Linked DNA regions of Arabidopsis thaliana. The protein of the gene in region 1 interacts with the protein of each later gene in a biochemical or structural test. Each region holds a gene or a part of one and is shown on either strand. Other genes may lie near its edges.

Region 1 (5,035 bases):
AATGAATGTGGAAAACTAAATGGGCGGTGTGTGGTGGTGGGGAGGTGTATCACTTTGTTGGTCTCAACATGTGACTCGAGAATCTATCATACACACATTGTCATCGACATAGTTTCAGTATTCACGCCCCATAAAGTGTTCGGTGGTGACAATATCTACACCCCCCCTCACATGTTCATTTTTGTTACATGCTATAGATTATATTTCTTTATACAAATTTACTATGAAAAATCTGTTGCAATTATGTGTAATGTTCATCCATTCTCCACTTGGGCTATGTATTTGGTTTGGCTCAAGAAAATTCTTAAAGACTCTATATCTATTATTTTCAGCTTAAGATTTTAGAAAAAGTTACATTTAATGGAAAACATTTTTTTGGTTGAATTAATTTTACATTCATTCACAAAAAAAAATCTTTGAAATGGTGTCTCTTAATTTGCTAGAGTCTTTCTTTCGATATCATAAGCCAATAATTTTTTGGTGTAAATTTAGGAGGTTTGTTTGGAATCATTCAATCATATTTCTTCCCATAAATCACTAAATTATGAAGTATAATTATGTCTTTTGTAGTTATTTTGTTTCAAGTCATGGAAATTTTAATTTGACATAATAATCTGAAGAAGAAGATAATGAGGATTTGATATATATACAAGAAGAGTAGGTTAACACTTAACACTTAGTCATGACATCAACTAAAACTCTTTTGTCTTTTTTTCCCTACCCAAAGTTGGATCCTAGACCAAGAATTTAAGATTATATCTGGCGATAGATTTACAGATTCTTCTCAAGTTTAAAGCAGTTAAAACCTAGATGAGATTGAAACCTCACAGCTAAGTGAAGTTGTTCTTCAAGAGTAGGAACGGACCAAGCCAAAGTTGACAAAAGATTTCGACTTGAAGAGACCCCCAAAGAGAAATCTTGTCGGTGATTCGTGAGAAGGCGATTTCTGTCTTTGTTGTTGTTCTTGAGGGTTGTTCTTGACTTTGAGAATAGTTTGGCCTATGGTTTGTCTTATGGAATCTATGGTCTTAGCATCGATTGAGTAACCAGATGCATCACTGACATAGAATGTGTTTAGAGCTTTGCCTCCTTTGGTTTTCACTTCAGCTCTTGTGACCGTTAGGCTGTTTTCACGGAATATGCGAGTCACGTTTGACAATAAGCCTACTCTATCCGTCGTGCACAGTTCCAACTTCAATCCCTAAAACATCAAACAATGATCTCTCAGTGACAGTTACAGAAAGAGTATATACCAGACACTATATATTACTGGATCATTTACCTCAGATACTCTTCTTTTGATAGCTGCTTCAAGACATTGTATGACTCTTTGCTTCTCTGCCTCTGATTTCACAGGGGATCCATCTATATGTCTCACATAATACTCCTGCAAAGCAAAGACAAAGACCGATAAGTAAATGGATTCAAGGAAACTCTCTGCTCTATGGTAATGGGATATTTCTTTACCTGAAACGCCTCGGTGCCCTCAGTATCAACACTTCCATGGAAAACCACATACTGCATATCAGTCAAAGTGCAGACTGTGTCGAACAGAAGCTTTGGTCTGTCTTTACATCTAACTGTGACCACAGAGTAATCCTTATCGAGCCAATTATCAACACAAACATCTGGTCTTTGCCTTTCATCTTGGATAGAGGAATCATCATCCACCAAACGGTGTTCATAGTCTCTATCCTCAAACATCATCTGATGAAGCCTCCTATCCGTGTGGACCTCCCCATGAGACACTACGGTTTTAGCTTCCCTTGGTGTGTTGCTTCCCTTAAGCACATTTCTGAGAAGGTTCTTGATCCGAGACAACCTCTCTGGATCAGAAATGCCACACCCGGTTAAGTCATCTGTGACCTGCATCACAGCAGCTGCTCTGGTGTTGTGTGTCCAAATCTCAGCGTTGAGGACACTGCATTTGAGATGGGTCAAAACAGCTGACAGTTCAGACAGCAGACCTGGTCTGTCACATCCAGTTAACTCAATAACCGTGCTGTCTGTTGATGGTATGACACCAACTGATCTCATGGAAGTGGAGAAACAAGCTTCAGGCCCAAGAGACTGAGAATTAAACACAACACACTCATTAAACTCTCACTCACACATAAGAAGAAGATAACAAGTTTAACAAAAAAACACTCACCTTTTGGATATAGTCTAGAACAACTTCATCAGTGACTTTGTTACCATCTTGATCAGTGACATTAAATACTGCCAAGTAGCAGAGAGAATAAGAGAATCAATCCCTTGTTCTAAAGTAAAGAGAATCCAAAAAAAAAGAAAATTTAACAATCGGAACATACCATCCATAAACCAACCACCATCAGAAGATATGTACGCCTTAGTGATAGTAAGGTTAAGATCAGTAAGGATTTGTACAACTTCAAGAAGAATCCCATATTCATTTGCACTATCCACCTAAACAACATCAAGAAGACAAAACAAAAAATTCAGGACAAGTCTACATAAATGAATAAACAAGATATATAGACATAAACCAAAATTATAAGTGTACCCTTATCACAGTTGCCTTCTTGCAAGAGTCATTATCAATCACAACCCTGGAAAATAAAACAGAGGTTTTTATCCAAAATCATATCACACTATTAAAAGTAGTTATAATAACAAAAAGGAAGGAGAAAGAAAAAAGTTAATACCTTGGTGGATTCATTCTTCTTATCAGCTTCTCATACTCATTATCCATATCTTGTGAAAAACTCATACTAACATCTGCAATCAAAAAATTCCCAAATATAAAAAAATCAGTGAGTTTCAAAGACAGAAACTTTCAAAAATCAGAACAAAACCCATGAATAATAATCTCTTCTTTCTCTCTGTATTCTTGTAAATACCAATAAACAGAGAGATACCACTGACATCAAATCCTAGGTAAATTTCTAAAAGAGCTTAACAGAGAAAAAAACCACAAGAAGAAGAAGAAAAACAAAAACTTTAACCTGCAACTACCAAATACTGAAAACCCCATAACCAATAATGAAATATCTTACCCAAAAATCGTATGAAGAAGAATCAACAATGAGAAAAAAGAAAGAAAGAAAAAAGAGACATACCCATGTTCCTTTTTTGGGTTTAAGCCACTGTTTGATTCTTGACACTTGAGAGAGAAGGAGCAAAAGGTTGGAGAAAGACCTGCATATATAATGGCGACCCACAAGATCTTTTTTTTTTTCCTTTCACTCTAATAATATTTCCTTAAAATTATTAAATTAAAAATGGAAAATTAAACCAACAAAAATAGAAATTAATCTGACACGATTCTCCCATAAACGAGCAACTCTCACGAAAAATATCTTTATATTATTATAACTTTCCCGCGGCTTCGATCAGAGGAAAAAAAAAACTGATATTGCTTATTGTTCTTAATATACAGTGAAGAAGAAGGAAGAGAAAAGATGTGTGAACTGTAACTCTCAGCGTATGTTAGTAAACAGTAGTATGTTTTAAGTGGAAAATAGCTAAAATGCGCGGATAAGTTAGCATGCTACATATCTTTGTTTAACCACGTGATGGTAATTAAATAAAATTACTGGGTAGTAATTATGACAAGGTCTCTTCTAATCTGTAACCCAAATTTCTCGGAGTAGAAGATGTGAAAATTTTTTAATTACTGTTTCGAATTTTAAGCCGATTATATATTATTCTTTTGAGATTGGATCGTGTAATGTAGAGATTCTGATATATATGATAATTTCCTTATTAGTGTGAAAAAGAAATGATATGATTCCATGATTCCATCTTAATAAATCATATATATTCCATCGTGAAGAGAGATTCATGACCCGTATTGATTCTATGGAATATTATTAAGATATATACAATGTGCCATAAAATCTCTGAAGAATATATATTTATTTCCTAACTTTTGCTCCAAAAGGAATATATATATATATATTATATATGTCTATTTCCATTTCAAATCAGGAAAAAAGATAACTGCAAATGGGTGTTTTTAAAGAGCGACCATATGGAATAATTGTACCGTATCAAAATTATTGTCCAACGTTTGTTTTCCTTATATTAGAATTTACAAGAGACCGAGAAAAGAAGCCAAAAATATACAATAGTATTAAATGGACCATATTTTGTGTTTTTGTTAAACGTTGATGATTACTTTAAATGATCCAATTAAATCGAGTAATTAAAAAAACGTAACTGATGGACCAAGATATTTGTTGAGTCACACACTAACATTGATTTTAAATCCTCGTTATATTACATGTTGTTAATAAAGAAAGAAGAAGAAAAACGTAAATGGTGTTACGATCAAATAGTTTTGTTTTTAAGATTCTGTCGGAATTAAATACAATCGAGATTCAAGAATTAACCGATGGAACACATAAATGTTGAGAGACAGAGGAAAAGCGAAAATCAATAGCGTGAAAACATAGAGCATACAGAGTTTACAGGGTGGCAATGTACTCTTCGCTTTACGTACCATTGTCTATATATTGACCGTACCTTCATTCACATCTCTTTCCCAACATTAAAGATTTGTTTTTATTTTTTTTGGTTTATTATTTCACATTACCAAATTATTGATAAATAAATACATCAGATTCGAGACCTCCTCGGCATTTTCCATGTTTTTCAACAACCGAAAACACTATGGAATTTAATTATGTGTGAGTTTTACACACACTATTTGTGTTCTATCTATTTCTATAAGAAAAGTGAGTTATATATATATAATCGTTTCCCAACATATTTACGTAAAGTTCGCATGGGACTCAAATATTTCTACATATTCACATCTAATAGTAGTATTTGTATATATATATATATATATATATAGAAGTTTTCTTTTAAGAAAATGGGGAATGTGTTTTGGTGTACAAAATGATGATCCACCATGACTGAATGAATATAATCATATATATATTGGCATGATTTTCAAAATATTTCACAAAAATATGTAGAGATTTCAAATTTAATATAATTTTTTCCAGGATGTCATTTTTAATGTGTTAAATAGTAGTATTTTAACAAATATATATATGTATGATCA
Region 2 (3,602 bases), on another chromosome or scaffold:
GGAACGGACGGGTTCGCACCCAAAGCCCACCCAAAGCCCAAAGGGTCTCGAGAGAGCTTCAAGGAAACACTTTGCAACGATTACCTAATTTCCAAAGATTACCTGATACCTTTGGTATGATCTTTTAGTCTCTACTGATGACCTAATTATCGAGTAGACATATTATATAATTGGTTTTGCAAGAGAATGGCCTAGTTTCGCAGACTTTTACATTCTCGGTAACAATCTTATCAACCGATACATATATGTTTGCATTATGTTTTTAAACATTATCGAGTAGACATATTATATATCGCTTATTTCACAACTATTTGTTACTCTACAACTATCAATCATTTCCTGAAAGAGTAGAACACTGTGAAGATATAAACACTGAGAGCAGAAGAGACCAATACCACAAGCACCAGCACGGTATGAATCGCCAAAGCATTGCCGCAAGAGAGAAGCCCCAGACGGAGTTGTATAACATCAACAATTGACAACAGAAGAAATACACAACCCAAGATAGATCCACCAGCTGCACCAACCACACCGAAACGAAGCACATCTCTGTTGATATTCGCTTTAAACACTTCGTCCGTTTCTTTGCTGTTCAAAAGGTTGATGGCTAGCTTCATCCCTTGAGCCACAAGGGAGGAGAAGAGAAAGAAGGCAAATGAGATGACTTCAAACACAACCAGGTCACGTTCCACGTCTCGTCCTGCACTGCACTCTGTTCTGTCCGTGAGGGTGAGGTCACTTGGCTGGTCGAAGGAGATTCCGACAAAGACTGCAACCGTGAAGAGAGAATTAGCACTTACAATCCCATCGAGAGCCGTAACATGAACACTCGTGGTTGAAGTAGTTGAATGGCTGGTGTTGCTATTGCTATTTTGGTTGCTGCTCGTCTCTATGTCGGAATCTGCCATTACCAATGAATGGATCTCTCTTTCTTTCTTTTTTGGGATAGCTAAAAGCTTCTTTCTAATGGTGGATCATAATCTTCTGTTGTGTTCTTATGATTCCCTTTTGAATATGATTTGGTAATGTTGTTTAAGAGTGGGTGGTGTTTGGTTTAGAACGATTAGCCTTTTGGAAAACGATAGCTCTATGTTAATTGATAATTTAATCTTTTTCAAGTCTTGGAAGGTACACACACCTTTCTCCTTTTGTTATGAAAGAAAATGGTTTCTTCTAGTAACCAAAATTTTGAACTTTATTCACATGTAAAACAACACAATCTTGTAGCAAATTTACACGTTAAATTTAAAACGGTGTTGCGTATTTGAAGAGACAATATCCTAAACGTTATCATATTAATATTATTTTTGTTATTTTTCCGTCAAACACCATTTTTATTAAGTTATCGAAAAGATACTATCCGTTAGAGAAAACTATTAAGGAACCGACGTGCTTACATGAGAGAAAATAACATTTTCAGTTTTAACTTTTTTGGCTAAAAGGTCTACTCGAGTGTTAAATTTTTGAGAAAAAAATCTAATACGAAAAAAAGAAAAATAAACAATAAAACACCGAAAAAGAGGCGAATTCCGCTGCAAAAGTTGGCTAATCTTTTTGGTTATCCAGAAGAGATATCAAATCGGAGCATAGTACTATTATTAACTTTGTTTTAACCTAAGCGATGTGGGATAAAAATCCTCTTAACAAAGACAAACAATCAATGACGTCATCAATCCAAAAATTGGCATGTCCTCAAGATTAAAAAGACAGTCTTAGCTGACGTGGCCTGTTCTCAAGTTTTAATTGGCTGGAGAATTCAAGAGGATGAAACATAGAAATCCTCTTTGACTAAAATATTTTAAACCACACAAGAGAAGGAGGAGGCAATGGCGGTGTTATCCACCATCTACTCCATCACCAGAGCTTCAACGCCTACTATGGCGTCTCTAACTAATGACTCACCGTCTCCACTTCCTTCTTCTTCACCGTCGAAGCTTCCCTCTCCTACTTCTCCGTCAAAGAAACCGTTAAAACTAAGACAAGTGAGCAAACAAATGGGAAGTCAAAACCAGCAACGACGAGGCAACAAGCCTTCGATAGCACAGATTGAGAGAGCTTTTGGCTCTGGATCATATCGTGATTCCGAAGGGTAATTAAAGACACTAATTACATTTTCAAAATGTGTACTTATATACAGTATCGTATATGCGCGGTTTTGATATTTGTTTTTTTTTGTCTCGTGAAAGGGAAATGGATATGAATACGGTATTCGATGAGCTTCTATTAGGCCATGCTAATAAATTCGAAAGTAAGATCGAGAAGAAGCTACGGGAGATTGGCGAAATCTTTGTAGCTCGAACAGAGCCTAAGCTTCGTTCCTCGGGTTAGTTTAGTGATTATAATCTCATACTAATCATATTCCATAGTTGCGTTGGCTTAGACACATCTACTTCATTGATATTGCAGGGAAACCAGTTTTGATGTTTACAATTCAATGGATTCTTCCAATATGGATTATGTCACTGCTCGTAGCTTGTGGAGTTATCAAACTCCCTTTTAGCATCCCTTTCCTTGATGACTTGATCATGTGATTCTTCTACACAGTTAATACACATGTACTCTTACCATATTTCGTTAATAATACTTTTAGTGTATTAGTGTAATACCATACCTCAAACAAACTCATCACAGATAAGTCTCTAGGGAAAGAATGCTTGTTATTGGTGAGATATACTTTTCAGCTCACGGTGCACTCGATATGGAAGGAACGGAATGGTCGTCGACATGGAGAAGTACCTATTCATATCTCCCAGTTAACTCGCGAACTCGACAAGCAAACCCGAAACAGAATCTTTTCTATTCGAGAGCTAGGTGATAGAAGATATGAAGATTCTATGGCAATCTGGTTTGGTTCAAAATAATCTAGACATCTTCTTAATTCTTGCTCAAACACAAGCTGCACTTGATGTAAAACAGTTTTTTTTTTCCGAATGATTTTACATAATATTCCAAAAAAAAAGTAATATACCATACCTTACCTATATAAAAATCAGTGGCCAATTTACGTAGTTAGTGTTAGGTGGCCAAACAATTCTGAATTCTCACTCTCAACATCTGTATTTTTTTTAATATCTAAAAGTTCAAATCTACATTTTCTAGAGGCGAGATCCACACATAAAGATTCCTCCCGACGGGCGTCGAACCTAATACTTCCACCTCTAAAATTTATCATTGGACCAACACAAAGTTGGTTCAAAATCTATATTATCCACAACATTTTAAAATTCTTTGCTTAGTAAAGTAGAGAAGAAATAATCGTCATCTTTATTTAAAATTGATGACTGTAGTATAAGCAATTAAGCATCTCTTGACTACATTATTGAAATATACTCCCTAATATACACATGGCTTTGTGATTTTATTATAGAAAAAAGTGCTCTATAATAGATGATAATCCAGAGGAGCATATTCGATTCTAATTAGGTCCATTACTGTCAGATTTTCCAGAGATATATATCATTACCGTTTATGCTTTTGCGTGACCTTTAATTATGAATCACATTGAGTAAAATAAAACATTATTATTATGAATCCGATTTCTCTTTGATCAATTATTATTCAAATTCTACCTTGTCTAAATTATTATTATTTTCGTTAGTCAA
Region 3 (4,691 bases), on another chromosome or scaffold:
AAGTTTTTAATTTGATTCACCTCAATTAAATTCTTAATACAAGTTTGAAGAAGATCACATCCGAATGTATATTTTATTAATCCCTAAAATACATAATCCAAACTAAAACAAAGAAATCAAAAACCGCCTTTGAGATAAAGCATGAAGAGAAAGAAAAAGATGATTACAAGAATCTAAATCCCATCAGCTTGTTCATTGATACCGTGTTGAATTCGTCCAGCGTTGTTGTTTAAGAACATCATAGCCATTAGGGCTAAGATTATGAAGAAAATCGTTCCAGTTCCTAATCCTATGCCGCTTGGTCTGGTAGCAATCTTCTTCGAAACATTATTGTTCCGGCTGCTACAATAGCTTATCAAAACCCAAACAAATGCAGAATACGCCAGAATTAAGATCGCAGCCGTTGGCATCTTTAATATCTCTTTCTTGTGTTCGTGTGCAGAAACTGACTACTCTTGTGTTTTCTTTCTTGTGTTTGTGTTTTTAGACTCTTGTGTTTTCTTTTATATTGCATGTTTAAACTAATTAATGTCAATTCGTTTGTTTCCATTTTTTTTCTTTCCAAAAAAAAAGAAGACAATTTCTTTTTCGAATTTGAGGGCACAATGAAAGTGAGATACTTTTTTTTTGTTTATTGAAGAACAATATGATAGTAACAATGAACCCAACAGATTTCGTTGGCATATATAACAGGAAATTTCTAAGCCTAACTTGTTTGTTATTTCTTTGACCTAAGTCCAAGAACTCAAGTCGAGATCTCTCCTTTGCTTATTATACACACAAGCAAATGTATAAGTCCCCATATGCATTACCAGTAATCTCCACAAGAACACACTCCATTCTTGAATCGATGAAACCGGTTCACATCTCTGACTAGAATCTCTTTCTCCATAAACTTCGAGATGAACTTTGTAAACAAGTGACAGTCCTCGCACAAACGCAAGTTCTTCGTGATTCTGATTGGTTCTCCTTTCGATGTATTTATCAGCCCAAACGCCAACGCAAGTTTCTCACTGTGTCCCAACACTATCCTCTCTTTTTCTTCTGTTTCAAGCTCATACAGAACTCCTTTGGTCTGTGGTATGTACCCTTTCTCCTTCATATCTTCGGCTAACTTAACCAAGAAAGCATGAATCTGTTCCATAAGAGGGTTAAACTCATCAACCGAGACAAACGAGTACATTTTCCTCCTCACTTCCATCCAGCATCGACCAGGCAGCTTCTGCAGTCCCCTGTGTTCTAGAAGCTTCTTCACTCTCTTAACCTCATCCCACATCTGAGCTTCCGCGTAAATGTCTGCCAACAACACATAGTTCCCTGCATTTTTTGGTTCAAGCGCAAAGAGCCTTCTACTCGCCCGCTCTGCAAGCTCAACATTACCGTGAATTCTACAAGAACCAAGAAGGGAACCCCAAACCTTAGGCCCTGGTTCAGTCCTCATGTCTTGTACCATCTTTGCTGCCTCGTCTAACCTATTCGCCCGACCTAACAGATCAACCATACAAGCATAATGTTCGATTTGTGGTTTTATCCCATGGTCTCTCCACATTGTTTCAAACAGTCTCTTTCCTTCTTCAACAAGACCCTCGTGGCTGCAAGCTCCCAAAACGCTGACAAATGTTACGGGAGTTGGGGAAGCCCCGTTGGCGAGCATCTCTTCAAATATCTGAATTGCTTTTTTTCCATACCCGTGAACGCCATAGCTTGATATCAAGGAATTCCAGGACACAACATCCCGGTCATGCATTCGATCAAATACTCTTTGTCCCACTTCAAGCTTACCGCATCTACCATACATCGTCACAAGAGCACTGATCACTGGCAATATGGAGTCAAGCCCCCGTCTGAGTATGTACCCATGAATCAATTTCCCTTGCTCTAAAGCCGCAAGCGAAGCACAAGCTTGAAGCACACTAACCATAGTCACAGAATTCGGAGATGAATCTTTGGTTTCTCTCATCATTTCACGGAAAGTCCTCAGAGCTTCAAAAGCTTTCCCGTTCTTTGCATAGCAGGCGATCATAGCGCTCCAAGAAACAACGTTCCTCACCGGCATTCCCCCAAACACATAGCTGGCATAATCCACACAGCCAAATCTAGCATACATGTCCACCAACGTAGTCATAATGTAAACATGAGAACTGTAACCTCGTCGAGTAAGATGTGCATGAATCTCTTTCCCTTTCATCAGATGATTCACCGTGCATTCCGATGCAACACAAGCCTTGAGAACATAAGTGTATGTGAACCTATCTGACTCAACTCCAATCCTATTCATCTTCCAATACAAACCCAACACTTCTTCTCCATGACCTGCTAACGTAAGGGCTCGAAACAAAGCGTTCCAGACATATATAGTTCTCTTACGCGTTTTATCGAACACCTTCCGTGCATAATCCACAGAACCCAAATCCGAGTACATACCAATAAGCTTCGTAGCCAAAAAAGGATCTTGATCAGACCCATTATCCAGAATATGTCGATGAACACGTAGAGCATCAGAAAGAGAGCTCCGATGACCGCAGCAGAGAATCAGAAGCTCGTAAGTCTGTTGACTTGGGCTAGATTCCTGAGACAAGACGCGAATCGCTTGTTTAAGTTTACCCTCTTTGCACAATGATTGAATTAGCTGATTATTAGAGATTTTAGCTCCGGCGCCGGAGGAAATTGAAGGATTGTTTAAAGCAACGGAACACGACGGTGGCTTCAGAGGAGAGCGAGGTAAGAAGTTAACTGTATGATAAGTTGGTTGTATTACTTGAGGAGGGTGAGACAGAAACATTTTTCCGATGAGTTTACCGGAAAATTCCCAAAGAAAAACATAAAAATTCGCGGCTTTTCTATCAAATCTGCTTTTTGGATCGACGATAATAAAGAGAGGGGCTTTTTACTTGCCGATGCCACTAGTTTTCTCTGCTACTTCCGTTGGTTGGTTTACACGTGCCAATCACGTGGTTAGAAATGGGCCTTCTTGAATTAGGCCCATATTTGGTTAGTTTTGAATTGGGCTGATCTAAGTTTACGAGGCATCTTTTGCGCCGGGAATAATTTTCTTCCACGGCGGCCACCTGCGGGCCACCAGTATTCTGGCGAGATCCATTTCCAATCACCCAATGTAACGCTAATTTAACAATTATTTGATTCTATATCCCTTGGTGATTCACGAGGAAATAATTTATATGCAATCAAATCAAATACAAGAGTATTTTTAAAAACATATATAATATATAATTCATGTAAAACATAATTTCATTCATGGAGGTTGGCTTAAAAGAAAAATAACGATAGAAACAGTACATTATTAGTATCATGATACACTACTATTGTTTAGTAGTAATTACGACCCCTAGGGTTGCGAGTATTCCCACAACACTTATTAGAACAAAAGTAAAAGTCGTTGATTTGAAGTATATAAGGAAGCTTGCATCTTGAAGAACACCTAGAACAATGGGGTCTACAAATAGAAGTGTTGGGTACCACTACTCCATTTGCGATTTTGTTCGATGAAATGTGTCCTGGTACGTGATATGAGAAGTCTCCCACGACACACGATATGTGCAAAATGATTCCACATAGATTACATGTATACAACCATTCCTTTGGATCTACTTTTGTTTCACATACCTCACACCAAAGTTGACCATCTTCCTTATTTTCACCGTAAGACAAGTAGAGAGGATGATCGTCGTACCTCTGATTCATTACCTTTCTAGGTAAAGTAGCGCAGCGGAAGTCCAACCGAAATTCACACTCATCACAACACAACATATCCCTGGCGCTATATGTGATGTCACATGCAGAACATTTTGTATCCCCCTCAAGACTGAAGTATAAAGGATGTGGATGGCTTTCATGGAGAAATGGTTCATATATCGAACTACAACGAACATCTAGAGTAGCGGAACCAAACAAATTACGAGACTGAGTTTCGTACCTAAAACCGCTGAAATTCTGGAAACAAGCAGAACAATGTCTTCTTTGGCGTGGAGAATCTTTCAAATATGTATCTGTCGATAGAATTAAAGGTTTATTGTTGGATACATGCCTTATCTTTCTAGGCAGACTAGCACATGTTTCATGTAGAATAAAGTCGCATTGCTCACAACCATAAAACGGATCGTTATTGATTTTGGAGGCACATGCTTCACAAAATTTGCTTTCGTGGTTACCATCCTTGTTGAGTCTTAAATTATGGCCATGGATGAAGTGCTTGATCAGATTCTCATCGACCACCTCGAATGGCGCAATTTCCTCCTCTTCCGGTGTTCCTTCTAGTTCAACTTTGTACCATACATCCTTTCTCGTCGCGCATCTTGCATGAACAGCATAGCTAGGACATTTCGAGCAAGAATAAGCCCCATAAAACCCATCTACTTTCTTACGACAAACTCCACATGTCCAATTCCCGTGTCCAAGAAGACTAGTGTAAGAGATGCGATGATTATGACGATTGATATTTATCACGCGGGGTAAATCAATACAAGCTCGATGGATCATGAAATTGCATTGAAGACAAAAATAAGGACTTCGATCACCAGCCGTCCCACAAGCGTTGCAAGTAAAATTGACTAGTCTTGGAACAAGGTGGAGTTGATGCTCATGGGTCGTAGGACTCACAACAGAAACTGGCGGTGGTTTCGCCATACAGTAATCCTTGCAAATGGTGACATTACAAACATCGCAGTGGTAAA
Region 4 (3,448 bases), on another chromosome or scaffold:
CAAATTCGCTTGAGTAATTCTAAATTTCTTTCTCCGGGAATGATCAAAACCTCAACTTTTGATTCCGTTTTATCTCCGACGGAACTTGAGTTTGCTTCTTCTCCAGGAAAACCCCTTTAATTAATCTTCTCTAGGCACTATGGGTTTAACCAAAGTTTGGGCCTTCTCTGTATTATAAAGCCCAATTATATGGGCCTAAAAGACAATGGGTCTGGGTAAAATAATATTAAGGATATTAATCTGTTCGTTTAAAAGAGTTGGTTTTATTCTGATAAGATTGTGCAAGTTTTTTGGTCTAATGGTTGTTGATCAAGACTTAAGTATTTCGAGATGATGTAAATTTTGTAAATTGATAGAGATAAGTTTTAAGTTTGTTTTTTTAACATCTTTTAAGTTTTAAGTTTATCTGATATTTCTAGTATTTCTGTGATGCAAATAGAACTATTCGTTAATGATGTCTTTCTTAAATTATTTTTAAAAAATATAGAAAAATACATTAACAAATCACAACCTTAGTTATATGATGATATACATATACGCATTCCATAACATAGATTCTTATATCAAACAAAATGAGACAACTTTTTGATAAACCATGCATTGGAAAATATCTCATAAACCATGCATCGGATAATATGTCATAATTCAAAATACAACAACATTTTAAAGGCTAAAGCATCTGTTTTTTTTCTTTTGTTATTGTGGTCAATGACTTAAAGAAAGCTTAATCGAAGATCTAATGGCGGTGGATGTTCCATTTCAGCTCCACATGATGAGTATGGAGAAAACGACGTCGTGGTGGTCTCTCGAATATATTCACGGTACTGGTTATTGCCTCTAGCTCTCATTTTGTCCACCTTGGAGTTGGAGTCTTCAAATGAATTCACCGGAAAGAGTTGTAATGTCTCTATCACCTTCTCTTCCTCTTGACAATCTTCTTCGCTTATTTCAAAAACATCTATAATAACACACTATTATCCATTAAATATATAGAAATATCATATAAAACAATAATGATATATAATTATATATATATATATATATATATATATATATAAAGAGACTACCTCTAGTTGATGGTTGATGATGATGATGATCAAAATCAATGGAGATTTTACGACGTTTCTGCCTCTCCCTAGCCTTATGATTCTGAAACCAATAGAAAACATTCTTGCTCTCTATCTTGCCGTAGAAACTGAGCTCCGTAGAGATCTTCTGAATCTGATCAGTTGTTGGAGTTCTAAGACCGGCTCGAAACAGATCAGTCAATATCTTCAACTGCTCCACCGTTGGATTCCATCTCCCGCACTTCGTCCCCGTTCCTCCGTTATTGTTGCCACGTAAGCTTCGACCTTTCACGGAGAAAGACATGTTCAGATGTAAAGTCCTCAACTGTTTTACGTTTTAGGGCCTGTGTATATATCCATATATATAGTAAGATTGTTCATAATAATTTATTAAGTTTTCATCTTTTCGAAAATAAAAAGAGAAATGAATTGATGAAATGTCGGGAGGAGAGGTTTTCGAGTTATGTGTCGTTTTATGATGAGTTGTTTATTACGAAATGCATGCTTTGTTTTTTTTGGGGATTTGGGAGAGACTGATCTTTGCAGATTTGATCGTTTTCTTTATCCTAACCTATCTAGGCTTCTGTTCCATCTATATTTACATATGTTTTTGTGTGTATATATTAGTATATAATTGGATCTCGCATTCATGCCATGGCATGCATAAGTTGTATATCGGAACCAGCGATTGAAACATTGAATTTGTTCTCCTTTAATTTGTGGTGACTCGCACACACTTAAATTGCGTTCTACGTAATTTCTTACTATTCATATAACATGATAAGAATAATCAGAAAGCCTTGGTGGTAATGTACTATCTAGTGTCAATATTTTAACGTTCGATATTGTAACTTCAATGCTTCAACTATTCCAAATTATGACACTAGAAATTTTACATTCACTTTCTTTTTTTTGTATTTGTTTTGAAGTTAGAAGTTCTTTACAAATTGTAGATCTAATCTGTAATCAATAATAAGTTGAAATAGCTAGCAAGTCCTAAACAAAGATTGTATGCAATTACATTATTGAGACGGATGGATGGCCGATATTAGTTTGATATGAATGAAGATGATAAGATTAATTATAAACATCATGACATTGTGTGAACAGATTGTAGTTTTGTCTCTCTTGCACAGAAGATGTGACACTTGAGGAACGTTGGTCGGCAAGTGTAGACAGGAAATTTGAAATTTTATTCTCTTTTATAAGAAAATATAATATTACAAAATCAAATATCTGAATTCTGAATCATAAAAAACTACAAAAAGAAAAGGCATTTAATAGATAGAACCAGAAGGTTCGCCACACACATGTATAATATAAGTCCTACACCAAAATATTTGTAAAAAGCCATTTATTAAGTCACCAAGAACTCCTTCTAGAATGAAGAATGGTTGAAAGATGACTGCAAGATGTAAAAATAATTTTAACCATCAATAAAAGTATAAACTCATAGTGTTTTACTAGCCTCTATATGCTATCACGTCAATTAGATCTGATTTTTGAAATCTGAAAATGAGACAGCAGCAATAGTAACATAAATCATGCATTATACTGTAAATGCTTTGGTCAAAAATTTATTTCTTAGTTAAAATCTAACTGCATTCTAGTATATAACCTGCGACCGAAAAAATATTTCACTTTTAAGCGTACAACTCATACATGCCTCAGTTTTAACAATATACAATCCAGCTCTTATAATTTTGCATAGTCTAGTTGTTTGTACAAGAAACTTATTGATGTCTATATGAACAGTACGTATGACACCAGCAGAAATAGAAAGGAAAAACTTATAATATTCATGTAGTGTGCGTTAAAATGTCTTAATAGTGAGGATTTAGATGAGACATGCACGGGATGCTAAGCAAGACGAAAATGGTCCAAATAATAAAATGACAATGTGAATAAAACCAAACATTGTTTTTATAAACAAAGTACTCTTCACTAGACAACATAACAGTACTTACAAATATCTTTGTCTCTCTCGCATATAAACTGCATCTTGTTTTTAAAATTGATCAATTCGGTGTCAAAGTCAAAGTTCACGTGGCTTATGTTACTTGGAATCATCCCAGTTAATTTACATAACATCTTTGTTTAATTACAAATTTCTTACAGAATATCTCATTACCTACTCTCGAGTCTAACTAAATAAGTAGATTTTTGGATTTAATTCGGTTTAGAGAAACTTTATGACTTAGATTTGTTAGATATATAGAAAAAAGTGGCATGCACCCAGCACCCAATTAGTCATCAATTACTGGTACTGGATGATAAAACAGTTGTGAGTTGTACATTAAAAAGTTAAAGATAGCATGTCGTGGATTTGAGATATCAAAACTCTCGTATTGGATGCCCCCAAACATATCATATACTTTGTT

Evidence for each region.
Region 2: of the proteins of ACR4 (region 1) and CRR3, one has a biochemical effect on the other in vitro, tested with the Arabidopsis thaliana proteins (one study listed by BioGRID).
Region 3: of the proteins of ACR4 (region 1) and CRR2, one has a biochemical effect on the other in vitro, tested with the Arabidopsis thaliana proteins (one study listed by BioGRID).
Region 4: the proteins of ACR4 (region 1) and WOX5 form a complex in vitro, tested with the Arabidopsis thaliana proteins (one study listed by BioGRID).

The regions. Positions count from the first base shown.
Region 1 is NC_003070.9:25,955,892-25,960,926, reverse strand, and holds ACR4 (ACT domain repeat 4), read right to left. Parts: upstream 3,361-5,035; 5' UTR 3,085-3,360; coding exon 3,081-3,084; exon of another isoform or gene 2,740-3,080; coding exon 2,667-2,739; intron 2,571-2,666; coding exon 2,525-2,570; intron 2,428-2,524; coding exon 2,313-2,427; intron 2,221-2,312; coding exon 2,153-2,220; intron 2,071-2,152; coding exon 1,468-2,070; intron 1,388-1,467; coding exon 1,283-1,387; intron 1,202-1,282; coding exon 848-1,201; 3' UTR 526-847; downstream 1-525. UniProt on the Arabidopsis thaliana protein: May bind amino acids.
Region 2 is NC_003071.7:264,849-268,450, forward strand, and holds CRR3 (chlororespiratory reduction 3), read left to right. Parts: upstream 1-1,710; 5' UTR 1,711-1,826; coding exon 1,827-2,089; intron 2,090-2,186; coding exon 2,187-2,323; intron 2,324-2,406; coding exon 2,407-2,531; 3' UTR 2,532-2,631; coding exon of another isoform or gene 2,632-2,635; 3' UTR 2,636-3,078; downstream 3,079-3,602. Other genes in the region: AT2G01580 (uncharacterized protein), read right to left, coding at 333-908. UniProt on the Arabidopsis thaliana protein: Probable subunit of the chloroplast NAD(P)H dehydrogenase (NDH) complex of the photosynthetic electron transport chain. Required for both formation and activity of NDH. May function in assembly or stabilization of the NDH complex.
Region 3 is NC_003074.8:17,231,167-17,235,857, forward strand, and holds CRR2 (Tetratricopeptide repeat (TPR)-like superfamily protein), read right to left. Parts: upstream 2,880-4,691; 5' UTR 2,783-2,879; coding exon 809-2,782; 3' UTR 515-808; downstream 1-514. Other genes in the region: AT3G46800 (Cysteine/Histidine-rich C1 domain family protein), read right to left, coding at 3,328-4,691. UniProt on the Arabidopsis thaliana protein: Required for the intergenic processing between chloroplast rsp7 and ndhB transcripts. Necessary for chloroplast NADH dehydrogenase-like (NDH) complex-dependent cyclic electron transport around PSI (CET).
Region 4 is NC_003074.8:3,525,529-3,528,976, reverse strand, and holds WOX5 (WUSCHEL related homeobox 5), read right to left. Parts: upstream 1,698-3,448; 5' UTR 1,372-1,697; coding exon 1,068-1,371; intron 959-1,067; coding exon 714-958; 3' UTR 537-713; downstream 1-536. UniProt on the Arabidopsis thaliana protein: Transcription factor, which may be involved in the specification and maintenance of the stem cells (QC cells) in the root apical meristem (RAM).